Linked DNA regions of Notamacropus eugenii. The protein of the gene in region 2 binds, or shares a complex with, the protein of the main gene of each other region. Links are inferred from orthologs where the notes say so. Each region holds a gene or a part of one and is shown on either strand. Other genes may lie near its edges. The genes, in order: ITGAE and ITGB7.

Region 1 (9,609 bases), on a different chromosome or scaffold from region 2:
TCCTGCTCTGACTAGTCTTGGCCATCCATCCCTCAAGGCCCAGCTCACGCAGGTCTGGGACGGACTGTAAGTCCATCTTACAGAGAAGGAGACTGAGGCCTGCCTAGATGATCTAGGAAGGGCGGGGACTTGGCCAAGGGCACATAATGAGTCAGAGGTAGACATGCCTTCTCTGACCACTCAAGTCTTCCTCCTTTCTCAGCCTGACTCCAGAGGGTGCCAAGTTCCCCACTGGCCAGCTCAGGAGGCTGTTGGACAGTGGGCTCCCCAGGCCAGGTCAGTGCTGTGCCATCTTGTCTGGTCACCACAGACTGGAGGCTGTCCCTGCTCACAGGCTAACTCTCAAATGGGGGCCAGGTGATCACCCCTATGGCAGGTCTCCCGCAGTGGGGATCTTAAAGAGCAACAGTCTGCAGCAAGGGCTCCTCCAGAACAGAATGGAGGCTTTGTTAGGCAGAGTACTGGCCTAGCATCTCTTGCCCCTGCCCCCAGAGGCATGCCTGCAGCCTGGGCATGTTGGGGACTTCTTCCTTATCCTGACAAGCCTCTCCAAGCTCCAGGGACGGAAGGCCAGGCTGAACCATCCTGGGGCTCCAGGTATGCTCTGAAGAAGGGGCTGAGATTTAGAGAGACAAGGGAGGACTCTTTCCTTATCTCCATGAGTTCTGTCCTGGGCTTCCCCAAACTGATAAGAGAATCACCCTCTTCCTGGCAGCCCTGTCTGGGGCATGCTCCAAGTGAGCATCTATCACATGTATTGAGGGCAGTGAGCTCCTGGCAACAACAGGCCTCTATGCTGGGCTTCAGCAGCCCCCAGAGATGCAGATGCCATTTTACACCCATGCTGCTAGTCTGGGAGCCCTGGGGGAGAGCTTGATGGATGGATGGATGGAGGAAGGGCTGCCCCTCAGCTCAACAAAGGGAGGAGCCTTGGCATCAACATGGCCATTTCACTGAGGAGAAGGCCCAGCCCACCTTCTCCTCTGAGTAGTGCCAGAGCTGGCCCCACATGAGCTCTCCTATGGAGTCAGTACCCACACCTCTCCAGAATCGCAACTCCAAGCTGGGAGGGGCCTTTTTGACCTCTCTGCAGCCTCTGCCAGTCTCTCTCTTTCCTCTCTCTCTCTTCTCCTTCCCTCTTCCCTCCCTTCCTCCCTCCCTCTCTGACCTCGCTCCTCCTCAGTTTCCTTTGCTGGATCCTCCTCCTCACTGCACCCTCTAGCCCTAGCTGTCCCTCAGGGTCCCGTCCTGGGCTTTTTACTTCTAGACGAATTCACTTGGTGATCTCACTGGCTTCCCAGGCTCTAGTGATCTCTATGCAAACGATTCTCAGATCTATTTGTCCAGCCCTGACCTCTCTCCTCGGCCTCCAGGAATTGAATCTACAGCTGCCTTGTAGATCACTTGAAATGGCTGTGTTGTAGACTTGGCCAAAATCAAACCCACTGTCATTTCCTCTACCCCTTCCCCACTCTATAAAAGACATCACCTGCCTTCCTCCCAGGCTGCTCACGCTCCCCATGTCATGCATGGCCAGTGGCTCCTCCTCTCTTCTGGCCCTGCCCCCTCCCTGATGAAGACCTTCCTTACCTCATCCCTGGATGACAGCAGGTCTGCTGTGGGGAGGGGCATGCTGGCTTCAGGTCTCTCCCCCTCCACTCCGACACTGCCTGGTCTTCCTAAGACCCAGGGCTGATGCAGTCGCCCTCTACTCTCATTTGCCCCCTTCCTAACCCTTCCCAGTTGGCTCGTGACCCCGAGTCCTGGCTGTTCCTCTCTTCTCTGGGCATTTTCTCTGGCTGCCCCCACACCTTCCATGCTCTCCCTTCTCATCACCATGTCCTGACTTCCTTCCTGTCTCAGCTAAAATCCCACCTTCTCCCCTGAACCTTCCTCAGGCCTCCTTGACTCCAGGCACTGTCTCTCTGGGACTGCCCAAGTTCATCCTGTCTGGAGCTCATCTATAAAGAGGCCTTTGCTTGTTGTCTCCTCACTGGGATCTCCTTGAGGGGTAAGAAGGCTCTCTGTTTGTATCATCAGGCTTAGCCTAGAGCCTGGAACCCAGCAGGTGCTGAAAAAAGAGTGGCCTTAATGACCTTGGCTTCATCCCACATGTACCAGGGACCTACTAGACCAGAGTTTATCCATCATTTGTCTGGAGCTGCCCAGTTGGGGGGAGGGGAGGGGAGGGGAGGGGAGGGGAGTCCACCTCCTCCAAGAGCAAGTAACTCTTAGGGAAAATCAGCCTGACAACCAGCCCTGGGTGACAGCTCTTTGGGCTCTCAACTGCCCCAGGGACTCAAATGCCAATGTCTTCCAAAGGCTTGAGGGTCAGGTTCTTTCTGCTCTCTCTTCTCCAGACTAAACATGCCTCAACCATCCTCTGCTGTCATGGGCTCCAGGCCAGCCAGTTCCCACCCAGTGCAGCTGCTCTCTCAGGAAACAACGACCCTCTAAAATGGAGGTGCCCAGACCTGAGCCGGGAGTCCAGATGGGGTCTGCCTAGAGCTGGAGATACCTGACCAGAACCTCCCGGGGCCAGGGCAGGGGGCCTTCAGGTACCTGTGGCCCAGAGGGCTAGTGCAGCCTGCCCAGTAGTCTGGGGGTCCAGTTCTTCCTGGCCTCCAGGCCCTTTCCTCCTTACTTTCCAGACTTCAAAAACCACACCGCCTTTAGGCACGCCTAATGCTTCAAATGTGGGGGAGGACTGGGACAGTGAGCCTCCAGAGCACACCTCCACTGCCCCTGAGAGAGCTCCGTGTCAGATCACATAGAACATGGCTCCCCATCCATTTTTGGGAACTGGTGCTGAGAAGCCCAGAGGAGCATAGAAAGGACATGCCAATTTTCACTGCAAGCCTTGATTTTCCAGATCCACACTATCTCGATGGAGGTGCCCCTCAGCCCAACCCAGGATGGCATGATGCAAGGTGCTGAAACAGGAAACGGGGGCATTTCCAGGACCCCAGGAACTAACCACTTAGCCTGAACTTAGACAGTCTGGCCAGGGGTGGGGCAGGCCAGAGACAGAGAAGCCTGGGAGGATGGGTAGCTCCCCTGTCTTGAGAAGTCCAAACCGAAGAGCTGGGGTTCTGGGTTTCTTGTGGGTCACCTGGGAATGGGCTCTCATGAAGGCACCCCATAAAATACATCAGACACAAAGGAAGCCAGGTACAGTGAAATGAAGAGATTTTCTTCCCATTCAAGTTCCTGGACTTCCCAAGATCTCCCTACAGAGCCCAGGTCCAGAAGTCAGGGTTCCAGAGGCATTTTCCTCTTGTCTTTGACCCAGGAGGAGGTGTGGACCAGTTGGCCAGAGGGCCCCCTGAGGGGCCAGGCAAGCACTAAAGGGACCCCCCAGGAAGGCAGTTGGGGAGGCTCAAGTTTACTTACCTGTCAGGCAGAGGAGAGCAGATAGCAGCCTCATGGCAGCAGCTGGAGCTGAAGGTGAGCAGGGGGAACAGCTGTGGAGCCCCTCAGCTTCCCCAGGACAGCTCTGTAGACTCCCACAAGAACACACATCTACATAGAGCCCACAACCCCTGGGGGCGGGGTGTATGTGTGTGGGGAGAACTTCCTGGGTCTTCATTTCAAGCCCTACTCATCTCATCTTTCCCAGGGGAGCCCCAGGAGCTGAGAGGACCCAGGCCCTGGAGTACATAGGGACCTCACCTCTTCTAGACCCTCCCAACGAGGTCAGAGCCTCCAGAAAGTTTTCCCCAGCACTAGGAATCCTTGATGGAGTCCAAGCTCCTTCCTGACAGATGAGAAAAATGGAGACCCCTGGGGGAGCTCATGGCAGAGCAGGAGCTGGGACTTGGGCCTCTTCTGGGTAGTATCTCCAGCATTGGGACATGGATGAGCTTGGACAAGCTGTCCCCCTGTAGGCAGGGAGCAGGGATGGAGAAGTCCCCTTTTCTGAACAAAGTGAACTAGACTCATACTGTGGTCTGGAGAAGCAAGCTGGGGGCCCTGACTGATTTCTGAACTGTACAGGCCAGTCCCAGTTCCTTCTGCCTTGCGTGTGTCTGAGTCTGGCCAGTGCCTAGGAAGTCTCTGAAGGGGATATTGGGCAAGTATGTGGTGTCTCAGTTTAACCCCTGTTTCCTCCATGAAGCCTGACCTGACTTCCCCAGACAACCTTCCCTAGGCAAGGGCTCCCTGTTCTCTGACCCATTTCAGTATGGGTCATCCAAGCTCCCAGCACTCACTGACCATGGACTGCAGGCAGGGAGGCCTGACTTCCAGGCCTGAGGAGGTGGCATGTCCACCAGGGGCTGCCCTCACACAACCTCATTTGCGGCCTGGGGATTGGGTGTGGGCAGCAGAGCTCAAGGAGGGGATAGGGAGGACCCCCGCTCCTGACCCCTCATGGGCTATAGCCTAGAGGAGCTGCTCCTGGGACATGCCAGCTGTCTTCAATATTTGGAGGGCACTCCTGGAGAACATGGTTCCCTGGTCCTGTCCACAAGGAGCCAGATAGATAACGGGTGGCACCCCACCCAGGCCCTGGGCTGGTCCAAGTCTGGCCAGGCCCTGTGCGCCTGTCTGTGCCCATTAGCTCCTGATCTGAGTGACAGATCAGGAGCACCACCCGTGGCCCCTCGACCACGGGCAGTCCCTTTGGGGTTCACTGGTGTCTCTGCCCCAGCCTTGCCCGAGCTCCTCGTTTTGGCTGCTGAGCCCAGCTGGGATTCGAAGCTGAACCGCGGGGGCTTCCGGCCCCCAGGGCTGCAGGGGGTGAGGGTGGGGGTGGGGTAGGGTGTTCCTGCTCTGCTTGATTCCTGGTTGTTTTCTGTTCCGCTTTTACCAGTCAGGCTTAGGGGGTTTAAAGTTGGATCTCAATAACAGGAGCTCCCAGGAGTGGAGCACCTCAGAAGTGTGAGCCTCTCGGAGCGTGAGAAGGCTGGGCGGCTGGGGGCCAGGGAACCACCTAGATGTCCCAGGTGGAAGCCAGAAGGGGAGAGATCCGGGCTGGATCTGAGCTTGGGGGAAAGAGAGACCAACAATACCACGAGGGAGCTTTCCCAAACAGGAGTGAAACGAGATGGGGGGTAGGGGGAACTGTTTCCTCCTGCGGTGGGGGGCGGGGGGCAGGGGCTTCAGTCCCCCTCATCCACCCAGGAAGAGCACTGGAGTGGAACAAGATAGGCGGGGTGGCCTCTGCCTAGCGGGGAAGGAGCAGCAGAGACTTCTGAGCCCTCCCCCTCCTTGAAGTCTGGATGAGCCCCCCATACACACACATCCTTCCCCCTCTCCATATACACACCCCCATCCCACTCCATGGGGTCTGGGTGAACCCTTGTTAGGGACACTCTTGTCTGTCCAGGGATGCCCTGATCCAGGGTCATCCATCTGTTGACTGGATGCCTTAGAGGTCCTTCCAACTCAATGACTCAGTGATTTCTGCCTAAGGTCCTGGTCAGTCTCAAGCAGAGAAGGGGCTCCCCCTGCTCCTTGAAGAGATTCAAAATTAGGGTGGATCATCTTGAATTTGAGAATTAGGGCCGCCTAGTGACCAGAGAGGTGACTATATGGTGTGACTAGGACAGGGGAGGGTGGGGGAAGGAACTCCCAAAGCTAAAATAGTCAGAGTATAGGGTCATCCAGTCCACCCTCTCCCATTTTATGGCTAAAAAAAATGGGCATTTCCTCTTTTATGAGGCCGTTGGACCAGATGGATCTTGGAAAGTTGGAAGGGACTTTAGCTTCCATCCATGAAAGGAATCCCCACCATGGCAGCCTTCCCTTTGAGATATCTTGTCCAGCACCCACTGCCCCAAGGCAGCGTGTTGAGGCAGAATCCTTCCGAGCTTGGACAATCCTGGGGAAACTGGTTTGTTCGGGATCTTGGAGAGTCAGCCTGAGAGGGGCCAACTGGAGGGGAGGTGAGGCCATGTCTGTTTTGGGTACAGTTGTTGACTTCCCCCAAGAAATAACAGCATCTTCCAGTGCTGACCATCAGCCTATCTTCTGTCACTTGCTTAGTTGGAGTGGCCAAGGGTTCAAGGCCTTAGGGGCTAGTGCAGAACTGGCTCACTCAATAAGGGCAGAGAATGGGAAGGGAGGAAAGAGTAGCCAGCGCTGGTCAGGGTGATGGCCCAGGAGGGAACTGAGGCCAATGGCAGTAATGCATAGGTAGGGATTCAAGGTTCTCTTCAGATAAAGGAATTTCAGAGTTTTTGGATGCAGAAGGGGGACATTTGTGGGTGACAGTAAGACCCAGGATGTGTGGCTGAGGGGGATGGAGGAAGGAGGAGGGCCTGGGGGTGGCAATGGGGAACTAGGACCCTGAGCCCAGAGGAGTGAATGAAGACACACCCAGTACTGGAGAAGGAGGCCAGGCCATCAAGGGGAGTCAGGTTTTAGTAAGAACTGGTAGATGCAAAGAATTGGAAAGGAATACTTTTAAGATGGAGGAAAGTTTGTTGCTTATGGAACAGACATGGCACATTGGAAGGGTTGGGTGGGAGGATGAAGATTTTGGTGGGGGAGGATTGAGGGAGATGGGAATGAATGAGGTGGTGAGGGGTGAAGACTGGGTTTGGATAATCCCTGAGGTTTGAAGAGGATGACCAAGTGTGAGCATGTCTTCCTTGCATGGACTGGAGGCACCAGTTGGGCAGGTGGCCAGGTGGGTAGCCCTGTTCCACAAATCCTCCTCACTCCAGTGGCTGGAGATGAGGCAGGAAAAGGAAGGTGGAAGGTAATTTCTGTCCTTGCTGTCCAGTCAGTAAATGTCTTTTTTTGTAAAAGATAATAAATGTTAATGGGTTAGATTGATCTTAGAGCTGCCAGTCACTCAAGAGAATAGAGGAGACATTAACTGGCACAGGAATTGACTTGGGGACAATTTATAGAAGAACATACAGGACAGAAAGACTAGTTTCTTCCTTGAGAAGATGAAGGATACGAAAGGGGCAGAGGAATCCTGCCTCGCCAGAAAGCTGGATAAAGATGATGGAGGATAAAGGTGATGGAGAACGGGGGGAGAATGGAACCCTTGGTATCAGGGAAGTTAGGAGCCCCCTCCACCCCATACCGGTGTGAGCTGGGCTGTCTCAGGAAGAGGCTCCTTCTGGTCCTCCAAGGAGGTCGTGTGTGGGGGAACTGACAGGATGTAACAATCAGGGCCAGAAGAGAGAAGTGCTGGCAGGCAGAGCCTTCCTAGCCCAGAGGGACAACCACTGTCTCCATAGGCACACATGTGGCATGAGAGGGCTTCAGAGGCTGGCCCCACCCCAAGGCTCCCACAAAGTACTGCCATGGGTCCTAAAGTCCTGGACAAAAACTAGGAACCAGGGATGTTTTCATCACTAATTGAAGGTGGAAGGTTCAAGAGAGAAAGGAGGATGCAGAATAAGCTGGATAAGGAGGCAGTGAAGGCTGACATTTGGATTTGGGGACCACAAAGTTGGGAGAGGGGCACAGGAAGCTGGAGGGGGAGGGAAAAAACCACCATCAGGCAAGATCTCCTACAGAAGATGGGCCAGCCTCGAAGAAAGCCAGAGTATTGTGTCCAGGCTGTTAGGTGGTGCTGTGGAGAGAGTGCGTGGCCTGGAGTCTGAAAGACCCAAGTTCAAATCCAGCTTCTGACACCTCCTAGCTGGATGACCGTAGGCAAGTCACATAACCACTGTCTGCCTGAGGCTCCTTGTCTGCAAAATGGGGAAACTGAGCAGTAGCACGCCTCTCAGGGTTATGAGGGCCAATGAGATATTTGTGAAGCGCTGTGTAAATGTTAGCTTTTTAAAAAATTACCTCATGAAAAGGAATCTTCTGATAGGCCACTGGGCCAGAAGTGATAATGTTTACAGATCTTGACCCCTGAATTTGGCCTCTTGGGTATTTCTTCCTGTTCTTTGGGGAAGGGGTGTCAGGCTAGGCTGTGATCTTGGCAGCTTGGAAGGGTAGGTAGGGCTGAAGACCAGGATAGATGGTGAAGGGAGCCAGACAACCAAGGGGAGGGGAAGGGAATGGTCATTTATGCAGCACATACTGGGGGCCAGGCACTGGGCCAAATTACTCAGCTTTTGGCTCCCCACACTTGTGAGGGAACTCAGGAGAAACTGAGGCAGGGAGAGGGGAAATGCTTTGTCCTTTCTGTTCTCATTCCATTTTCTCAACAACTATCTCTTTGTAGAAAGTTAAATGATATGACCTCTCCTAACAGATGATTAACACTGGAACACACTGGAATGGGGGCTCTGGACAGTATCATCAGAAAGGCAGCCTGGCCCCGCAGGGGTACCCCAATAGCCCTTCAGGGAAGGCATAGCCTTGCCTCAAGGAATCCTTCAGCAGTGTGAAGGAGCTGGGATCCCCAGTTTATAAAGATTACATCAGAAATACGTAGAGAATTGAGTCAAATTTGTAAGAATGAGTCATTCCACCTGAATAAGTTGTGGCATATGAATGTAATGGAATACTATGGTGAGCAGGCAGACTTCAGAAAAGCCTGGAAAGACTTGACATGAACTGATGCAGAGTGAAGGGAGCAGAACCAGGAGAACATCGTGCACAGTAACAGCAACATTGTAACCATGACCAGCTTTGATAAACTTAGCCCTTCTCAGCAACGCAATGATCCAAGATGACTCCAAAAATGTCCACATCCAGAAAAGAACTACGCAGTCTGAACGCAGATCAAAGCAGGCTATTTGCTCCCTTTTTTGGGGTGGTTTTCCCCTTTGGTCCTGATTTTTCTTTCACATGACTAATGTGGAAATAGGTATAACATGACTGTACATGTACTATAGGCAGATTGTCTGCTGTCTTGGCGGGGGGGGAGGAGATTTAGAACTCAAAATTTTATAGAAGTGAATGTTGAAAACTATCCTTACATGTATTTGGAAAAAATAAAATATTAAGTCGGGGGCGGGGGAGAGAAAGGATTTGAGTCATTCCCTAATACATGGTCAAAGGATAGGAACAGGCAGTTTTCAAAGAAATCAAAGGTCTCTCTAGACACATGAAGAAATGCTCCAAATCACTATAGATCAGAGAAATGCAAATAAAAACAACTCTGAGGTACCACTTCACATCCATCAGATCGGCTAGCAAGACAAAAAAGAAAAATGACCAATGTTGGAAAGGATGTGGGAAAATGGACACTAACGCATTGTTGGTGGAGGTGTGAACTGATCCAACCATTCTGGAGAGAAATTTGGAATCATACCCAAAGGGCTATACCAGCAATACTGCTGCTAGGTCTGTATCCCAAATAGATTTTCTTAAAAACGGGGAAAGGTGCTACTTGTACAAGAGGATTCAGAGCAGTTCTTGTTGTGGTAGCAAAGTTGGGAATCAAAGGCACGCCCATCAGTCAGGGAACGGCTGAACAAGCTGTGGTATATGAATGTGATGGAAGAAATGAGAAGGTGGATTTCAGAGAAAACCTGGACTTACATGAACTGACACAAAGTGGAACGAGCAGAATCAGAACATGACGCAGCAGCAGCAACAGTCACAGTAATTAACTGGGAATGATTTTGCTTTTCTCAGCAACAGAATGATCCAAGACAATTTCAAAGGACTTGTGCTGAAAACCTCTCTCTCCCTCCATCAAAAGAAAGTGACCGTGTCCAAATGCAGAGCCAAGCAGACTCT
Region 2 (8,688 bases):
CAAACATGTAGGGTAGGCTTTGGGGTGGACAGAATAAAATGGCTAACTGGATGGGAAGTGATTAGAAAGTTGTAAAGAACAGAAATTCGTGAAAATTAAGGGATAAAAAAAAATTTAGGAAAAGGGAAAAAAAATGACTGGGGATATTGGTCTAGGAAGATGAAGTCAGACCAGGGAAAGGGAGTTTGGGGATGGAGGTTGTTTAAAGGATAGGAAGGGATATGAACGTGGAGTTCAGGCTATGGCTGAGGGGTAAGGTCTGGGTGAGTCTTGTACAAAGCTACCTACAAGTCCAGGGCCCCACCTTTGCGGTAAACTGGGATGTTCGGGGAGAGAGCCCAGACCTTAGACAACTCTGGAGTCCAGATATAGACAGCCTCACGTGTACAAGGTGAAGGGGAGGGTCTTCAGAGATACAAAGTAGCCTGAGGGGCTGGAGACCAGGCCAGGTGTGTGTCTGGAGGCTGTCCTGGTTTAGGGGTAGCCTGGGATGTGCTGAACTCACCAATGCGCACCGAGCGGGTGACTCCCCGCAGCTGGACCAGGAGCGCGTGCCCCAGCTGGCGCACTCGCTCCAGGTCGTCTTTCATTGAGTAGCTGAGGTCCATGAGGTAGTACAGGTCCACCGGATAGCCCTCCACTCGACGGAAGCGGACCCGGAGCCGCTGTGTCTCGCCTGTGGGTGGGGTCCCGGCCAGACCGGGGGACGGTCATCATCCCTTCCAAGTGCTCGCGGGCCGGGCCAGGCTTCCCAGCCCAGCTCCGTAGGGTTGGGATCCCTTCTCCTGCCCTCCAGCCGCCCCCAGCCCAGTCCGTCCCTCCCTCGCCCCCAGGCTCACCCGGCCGCAGCTTAACCCGCACCCTCTGCGGGGCCAGCTGCGTGGCGTCGTCGCCCTCTGCGCCCTGGCTGAGGGGCTCATCTTGTAGCACGTCCTGCTGTCCTCGGGGCTCCTCCAGCTCGTCGGAGGGGCAGCCCCGGGCCAGCAGCTCCCCACGCCGGGCGCACCGCCGCCCCTCAGCCTCCCCTACCGCGGTGAAGTTCTGGGGGCCGGGAGAGAAGCCGGTTAGGGAGCCACGTGCGTCCCACCCTGTCCGGCATCCGATCCAGCATCCCCGGCGTCCTTCATTCTCCGTGAATCCTTAGTTGCACTCTCTCCCAGGCCTGACTTCGCAGTTTCTCAATGCAAAAGCCCTGGACTCCCTTCCCCATCCTACGGTCCCCTCCCTGCGTACAGAGCTTCCAAACCACGGCCCAAGGTCCAGGCCCTCAAACTTCCTGTACAGAGCCCGAGGTGACACGCAAAAAAGAAAGCCGGGCCCCCACTGCCACGCACAGCACCCACCACACACACACACACTCAGTCACTTGTGCCATACGCAGACCCAGACTCATCCAATCACAGCCCAGAATGCCCCCTCACCAGTTGCTTGCACCAGGCGCAGCTGTGGTGGGAAAGGATGCATTCTCTACAGGAGGAGACTGATTGGCAGGCCCCAGAAGGTGACGGATCAGTATCTTCTTCCTCCAGGGTGTCATCTGTAGATAGGACCCTGGCATCTGGCTTCTTCTGGCCACTACTCAAAGCCAGCAGAAGCCCTAGGGATATTGCAAAAGCTCCAGCTCTCATAGCCTACAATGGAAAGCAGGTGAAAGGTCTGAAAGTGCTACAGTGGGTCAACTTTTCCCGTGAGTCTTTAAACTTAGCCTGTGGTCTCCAGTCCAAACCCCACCCCATCTCCTTATCTCCACACCCCAGAGTTTCACTTCCCCCTATAGAGTCAGTAGTTCTTTAAGATTTGGAGGGGGCCGAGGTCAGAGATGCACAGAGGGAGGACAGACTGCCTTAGGTTCCTGAAGGAGAGAGGAACCGGGATCTCAACTCCAGACTATTCAGTAAGGTCAGAACAGATTAGTTTTCCACCTTCAGAAAAGTGAAAGAATTGAAACTCAGATCTGCATTCAAGGAGGGAGTGTGATATCATTGAAAGAGCATGAGATCAAGAGTCCAAAGAGCTGGGTTCAGAGCCAGTTAAGCTGTGAGAAACTGCAAATTATTGGCTTCTCTGGATCTCACTTGCCTCACTGCAAATCAGTTGATAAGTCAAACATTTATTAAGCACCCACCCGGTGTACAGAGCCCTGGGGAACTAAAAAATCACCTATTTCCAAACCTGGCTGCTTGTGATCTAGTAGAAAATGAGAGGCTAGGATTAGATAATCTGAAAGATCCCTTTCCAGCTGTGACATTCAGGGATTGGAGGGATTGTCAAAGACATGCAGGTATTAGGATGGAAGAGAAGGCTAGTGGTAGGGGGAGGGAAGGCAGATGGGAGGGATTGGGGAAAATAGGGTATATGGAAGAAACAGAGAGAAGGGAATGCTCCTGAGGACTGAACGGAGCAGGAGAATCAAGCTTAAACTTTCTAAGGATCTGGGGTGGGAGAAGGAAGGGTTGAGAGTTAGGAAACTACTCTCTCCTACCCCAGAGGAGGCTTTAAGGGTTATGTGACCTGAAGGCCAGATTGTAGCCGATATGAAATCTGGAGGGCCAGATTTCTAGCCATACAAATGCAGACGAGGTATCTGTGCGCCCTTTTTCCAGGGTAACTGCAGGCCAGAGCGAAGTGAGCCCAGGAATATGGGGAAGGGGTGAAAAAGAGGCAGGGGGATAGAGTTGCTTCCCCTTTTCTCTCCATCCCCCAAGCTCTAGAGTTAGGCAGTGTACTGAATCTGAACCGCCACCAGCACCCCATTTTACTAGGGTATGTGCTTTGAGGGGCCTAGGGCTTAGAGCTTCAGTCTAACCTCGTTTCTGTGTGGTTAATGTATGTGTTTGTGGGGGGAGAGATGAGCACCTTTCCTGGCTCTGACTCATTTCCTACAGAGCTCAGGGCCTCCACCCTTCTCGAACCCCTAGTCCCAGGGACAAACTCAAAAACACAGTTTGTAATCTTCACCTTCCTCTTATCCCTTTTGGTGGGGGAGATTAGTGGTCTTCCCACTGAGCCCCATCCTCCAATTTCTCTTCCACCCTACTCTGCCCTTTTTTCCCCTCAAATCCCTCTTTCTTTTACTCCATTACCTTTTCACATTTTTACTGGCTCTCTCTCTGTAACAGTCTCTCCCCCCACCAATCCTCCCTCTTCCTTTCTTCCTCCTACTGCTCCCTCCTCACTGTCCTTCCTAATCCTAACCCCCATCATCAAAGTCCAAGTTATGTCTTTCCTCCATAACCCTAACTGGCTCCCTCCATTTCTCTTTACTATTTCTTCTCTCTTACATTTACTTTCTCTTCCCATCTGAGTGTCCCTTAGTCTTCTCTTTCTCCTCTAGTCTCTTCCCATTTTTCTGATTTCTGTAGGTCCTAACCCAGGGCCTTAAATCATATTCGCCCTAAAGTACACAATCCTCTTGTTATTTCCTTCTTTCCCACACACTGGTAGGAAAACAAAAGCCTAGAACACAGATGCCCTTGTCCCAAGTTACCTTCCTGCTTTGGTACCGATGCCTCTGTTCACAACCGTACAGGGTTGTACCGTTGATGGACACTAGGAGAAGATGGGACCAATGCCTATTGGTCACCCAAGTCTGTTTACCCTCTTTTCCCTAGAGAACATATGCTCATTTGGGAGTCTGAGTTGGGAGAGCTAAACAGATATTAGAAACAAGATGTGCTGAGTTGGGACCCAGGGAGAAAAAAGAATTGCAATGAACTTTGGGGTACTAAAGAAGTCCCTTCCTTTTCTCTCCCCTCTGTCCTCCCTCAGTGCTCTGCCGAGAAAAAATGAGATCAGAAAGGCAAGTGTGCATGAAGTTATGGGGTCAGGGCTTTACGGGTCCCTTCAGGAGCAGAACAGTCATCTTAAAACCTAGACAAGGCTCCGGAATCTTCCCTTACTCCTTCCTGACCATGGGACTCAGAAGGTCCTCAGGCTGGGTAGCCCAGGGGTCCAGCCTCCCTGGTTCAAAAACTTTCCCTTTCCCATAGGAGGAGTGGAGGACGGAGTCCGAACTTGGAGGGAGCTACAGGTAGGGGGATTGGGTTCTCCAGTACTCACAGGTGCAGAGCTCTCTCTCTTGCAGTATCCGCTTTTGTGCTATTTGCATCTGCCGAGGGGCAGACTTGGGAGGAAGTGACACACCCAAAGTTGGAGGGGGAACTTGGGGGGGGGAATATGTGCGAGTGTGCAAGGTTGGGGGAAGGGAGGATGGCTAGAAGATACAGAGACAGGGAAGACACATGAAGGAGGGGCAGTAAAAAAGATGGGAAAGCCGAGGAGAAACTGGGGGGTAGTGTTGGTTGGGAGTCATTGAAGAGAGAGAAGGGAGGGATGGAGATACCTAGGGTAAATCTGGAGAAGGCAGAATGGGAAATGACGATGATGGAAGGGCTGTAGGGACTGGAGATCAGAAAAGTGAATGATGGGGGAACAAGAAAAGGACAAGATGGGGAGAAAAGATCTACAACTAAGGGGTATGGATTGAATGAGCATGGCAAGGCTGGCCTTGGGTTCACAGTTAGGGAGGAACCAGGACCAAGGGAAACCTCACAAAAGCAGTTTGGTGGTGCAGTTCATAGAGTAACAGGCCCTATATTGTCAGGAGGACCGGACACTTACTATAGCCAATGTGACCCTGGGCAAGTCCCTTAACCCGGATTGCCCCCCCCAAAAAAATTAAAAAATAAAGTTAAAAAAAAAGAAACTTCATTGTTTTGTCTGCGGTAGAAAGCAACATCGAGGAACTAGGGAGTATGAGATCAAACATTAGGAATGGGAAATGTGTTGGGGTGACTCTTTGCCTAAATCCTTCCCTTTCCCCATCCTATAGATACTAAGTAAACAAAGAGTAGCCTGGAAGTAGGAAGCCTGGAAGGAAAAGACGATGATCTGCTAGAGTTTGAGGAAGCTGCCCCCTAATCATCAACCCTCCTAAGAGAGAGGCAACTGATCCCCATGTCATCCACTCCAGCCTTCACTCTTCAGTAGTTTCCTCTCCAGGTCCCACTTTCTCCTGATTCTTGATTGCTTAGTTCACAGCTCTCCACTTGTGACCTGTTCTCTTTCCTGTATCTCCCCACTCCTGGCACTGACTTTTCTGAAAAGATCCAACCCCCCAATTCCTCAGTTTAGGGCGAGGTGTGTGTGTGTGATAGGAGACACATGGTCCAAGCTTAATTTTAACCTCGGACAAACCATTACCCCACCACCCCTACCCCGACCTATTTTCTCTTCTGCTGAGGATCTCAAAAAGGCTCTTCCAGATTTAGATCTAAGATGCTAAGGCTCTAAGGTTGTCTGAGGAATGCTTTGGAGGGAGAACAGGCTGAGTGAAGCACACATAGCCACACCCTCTAGTGGCCACAGAAGATATAGGCCCAGGTAGGAGAGGGGTGGATCTACCTGGTCCACACACCAATCCCTCCCTCTTCCCAGCTAAGAGTCCCAATATGGTTTCCAGATCTCATTCCCTTTGGCTGTATTCTCACATATCTGCCTGGGGGGGGAGGGGAGGAGAATGAGGACAAAGCCTGGAAGGGGGGAAGGGGAGGGTGGGAGAAGGGAAAGAGCACCTGGCAGACCACTAGCCCTCACTTTAGGCCTTCAGGCAAGTCCTACTAGCCTCCCTCAATTCCACCTCCCCACCCAGAAGAAGTCAGATCCCATGAGTTTCCATCACTTTATTTTGCAAAAATAGAAAACTCAGCAATATGCGATACAGCGGGAGGGAAGGGGGATGTAAACAAAGGGGGGGGAGGGGACAGCACCCAGCCCCCCCAGAGAAAAAGGGGGGCCAGTGGGAATTTTATTTGGCAGCTAAATACAAACCAGGGGTTGGGAATCAGAAGGGGCCCTGGGCTCCACCCCCAGAACCCCCAGGGGGATGGGGGGTAATTCCAGGGTGTAAACAAAAGCTAATAAATAAATAAGAGGCTTCCTCTGGGTAGGGTAAGGATCAGCTAAGCAGCCCTCCCCTCCCTGGGCTGAGCTGCTCTGGGGTATTGTGGGGGGAAGGCACTAGGGGTGGAGAGGGAGGGGCTCCCCAGGCCCCTCTGTAGTGTAGAAGGGTTCCGCCCCGATGGCTGAGATGGGGGGCGGGGGACACCCAAGGCACATGGTAGGGCTGGAGAATTCTTAACGGAGGATACTTCCCCTTTTTGTAGGGGAAGCATGGGGAAAGGGTGAGTACATGCTGGAGCCATCAGCAAAGAGGTGCAGAACGGACCTGCATCTGCCCCCCTTTACTGCCCCCAGAGGACTGGGGGGGACCAGCTACCCTCTACCCTGAGCCTGGCACACAGGGAGGCAGAGGGCAGTATGTGTCAGGCAGGGGGCATTGCACAGCGGTCACAAGGAGGTGGAGGCGGCTGGCCCAGCCCCCCTGCTCCTCCCTTTGGTCTCTAGTGTTCCTAATTATTCCTGGAGGTCTCCCCTGGCAGGGGTGGGGGTGGGGATGGGGATGGGAGGGATGGGAGACAAGGTCCTCACCTACTCAGCACCAACAAAGGTTCTCCCCCTTCTCCCTGCTGGAGAACTGAGGGATCCTGATGTCCAAGAGAGAGCTCCTAGATTCATAGCTGAGACCCCATCTCACCCCTCCCATTTGATCTCCCTAAAGTGGGAAGGAAGGCACAGGAATCAGGTCCCAGCCAGAAAATTATGGGAAGGAAGCCCAGTTAGGACTTGGTGAGGGTAAAGGATGGACACGTAGCCCAAGAAACTTTGGCAAAAACAAGGAGCTTGAACTGGTGCTGGTTTGGGGAATGGGAGTGAAGAGAGGGTACGTAAGATCCTCTCCCAGTCACTGGTGGGGATGGTCAGTCTGCTACCCGGGTATCTGATAACCCCTTACCATCACCACCACAGCAGGGGGAAATCAGGGGTCAGGGTCAGGGGCGGGGCTGAGGTCCCCATCACCCCCACCCCCTATTCCCTCATCCTCGCTGGGGGGCTCTGGTCGGGGGCCAGGCTGCGAGGAGTCGTCCTCAAACATCTCAGGGTTCTCCAGCATTTCCCGGATCAGGGGAGGCATTGGGCCTGGGATCTCCATTTTCAGGGTGATAGCTCGTTCTGCTCCTGTGAAGAGGGCGACCCCATAGAACATGTGATCAGAACTCACTGATTCTTCCCTCTGACCCACCTCCATCGCACTTGGGACTTCCCAGCGCAGACAGCCTACTCCAGCCTGACTGTAACGATCCCTCTGGCACCAGACACATTCCTAATGCTCTCACATCTCTGAGCTCTTATAATATTGACCTCTCAAACTGGGAGGCCTCTCCTCTACCCAACCCTATCTCTCTGCTTAGTCCTTCCTAATTTTGCTCTATAGAGGCAGCTGAACACTGGACCTGGAGTTAGGAAGACCAGAGGTCAAATCCAGCCTCAAACACTTTCTAGCAGTGTGACCCGGGGCATGTCACTTAACCTCAGTTTCTCAACAGTAAAATAGGAATGATAATAGCCCCTACCTCCCAGGATCAAACAAAAGAATATTTGTACAACACTTAGCACAAGGTCTGGCACATAGTAGGTGCTCAATATTTGCTTACTTCCTTCCTCTTTCTTCCTGGAAGCCTTTTCGGAGAAACTGTACCCACTTAACTTTCAGTGCCCATGTGGAAGGGCCCAGTTGCGCTCAGGGAGTGGAGTATATAGTGTAAAGAATTTGCTTTGGAATAAGATCTGGGTTCGAATGCAAACATTAACATGAACTAGTTATGTGAGCCTGGGTACTGAGACTCAGTTTTCTCATCTGCAAAATGGGACGATACCTGTACCATCTGCCTCGCATGGCGACTGGGGAAAGACTTTTTTTTCAAGTTTGTTATTATACAGTAGGAGTAGTGGTAGTAGTGGTGGTGGTGGTGGTGGTAAGTAGTTGTAGTTACATAGCACTCTAAAGTTTACAACAGGCTTTACCAATCTTATCTCATATGATTCTTATGATGACCCTGGGAGGTTAAGTATTATGATCCTGAGACAGGCAGAGGCTAAGTGACCTGCCCGGGATCAGAAAGGTAGTATGTGTCTGAAGTCTATTCCATTTCCCCCCATCAGTCAGGGTACCTCCAGAGAACAGGCCTCCTCTGAATTTCCTTCTTCTCTCCCTCTCCCCCAACCAAGGACAGAGTTCTAGGACAGAGGCTGGGTGTGTAGGAAATGTGGTTCCCAAGTGGACCCAGTCTCTCTCCCCAGTTCACTCCTCCCTCTATCACACCCTTCCCCCCTTCCAGGCTGACCCTTGGTACTGATGCCCCGAAGGTCAGTGATCTTCATGAGCATTCTGGGGAACATGTAGGGCTGGCTGGGTCGCCGCCGCCTTGCATACAACCTCAGAGCCTCCAAGAGTGGCTCCTGCAATTTGTCCACCTTCTCTGGTTCCTCTAGGTCCATTCGGTCTAGGCAAGTGGGGGAGAAGAGGCAAAAATAAGACAGAATATTGTGGGAAGGGATGGGAGAGGACATAGTAATAATGGAGGACTGGAGACATCAGGAATGGGGACCCAAAGGAGGGGGGACCCCACTGGGGGTGTCCTAGAGCAAAGCCTAAAATTGCTCATATTATCCCCACTCAGCCAAGGAAGAAGAGAAAACTTATAATCCAACCTGGTGGGAATAAGAAAAAAAGGGCTAAGGTAATCTCTCCCAGAAATAGCTGCTTTAGAGAAAAATTGGGCCTGTAGG

Evidence for each region.
Region 1: the proteins of ITGB7 (region 2) and ITGAE are in contact, whole or in part, in a cryo-EM structure (PDB 8ZJF), measured with the Homo sapiens proteins. The link is inferred for Notamacropus eugenii from reciprocal best matches to the Homo sapiens genes ITGB7 and ITGAE. Residues at the interface, in NP_000880.1 of Homo sapiens: Val201, Leu202, Pro203, Ser206, Thr207, Val208, Pro209, Ser210, Lys211, Arg213, His214, Cys216, Pro217, Arg219, Leu220, Glu221, Arg222, Leu255, Asp256, Ser257, Pro258, Thr291, Phe292, His293, Thr294, Ala295, Gly296, Asp297, Lys299, Leu300; in NP_002199.3 of Homo sapiens: Phe36, Leu38, Arg91, His92, Arg93, Gly94, Leu111, Arg113, Leu118, Ser119, Ser120, Leu122, Glu196, Glu198, Arg230, Tyr233, Glu234, Phe237, Glu238, Cys239, Asn240, Ser259, Gln260, Val262, Met263, Leu266, Arg300, Leu401, Gln403, Phe406.

The regions. Positions count from the first base shown.
Region 1 is NC_092877.1:388,322,245-388,331,853, forward strand, and holds the start of ITGAE (integrin alpha-E), read right to left. Parts: upstream 3,974-9,609; 5' UTR 3,590-3,973; coding exon 3,394-3,589; intron 1-3,393. UniProt on the Homo sapiens protein: Integrin alpha-E/beta-7 is a receptor for E-cadherin. It mediates adhesion of intra-epithelial T-lymphocytes to epithelial cell monolayers.
Region 2 is NC_092874.1:226,140,849-226,149,536, forward strand, and holds the start of ITGB7 (integrin beta-7), read right to left. Parts: upstream 4,130-8,688; 5' UTR 4,060-4,129; intron 1,632-4,059; 5' UTR 1,629-1,631; coding exon 1,422-1,628; intron 1,042-1,421; coding exon 840-1,041; intron 677-839; coding exon 506-676; intron 1-505. Other genes in the region: RARG (retinoic acid receptor gamma), read right to left, coding at 6,878-7,077, 8,244-8,402. UniProt on the Homo sapiens protein: Integrin ITGA4/ITGB7 (alpha-4/beta-7) (Peyer patches-specific homing receptor LPAM-1) is an adhesion molecule that mediates lymphocyte migration and homing to gut-associated lymphoid tissue (GALT).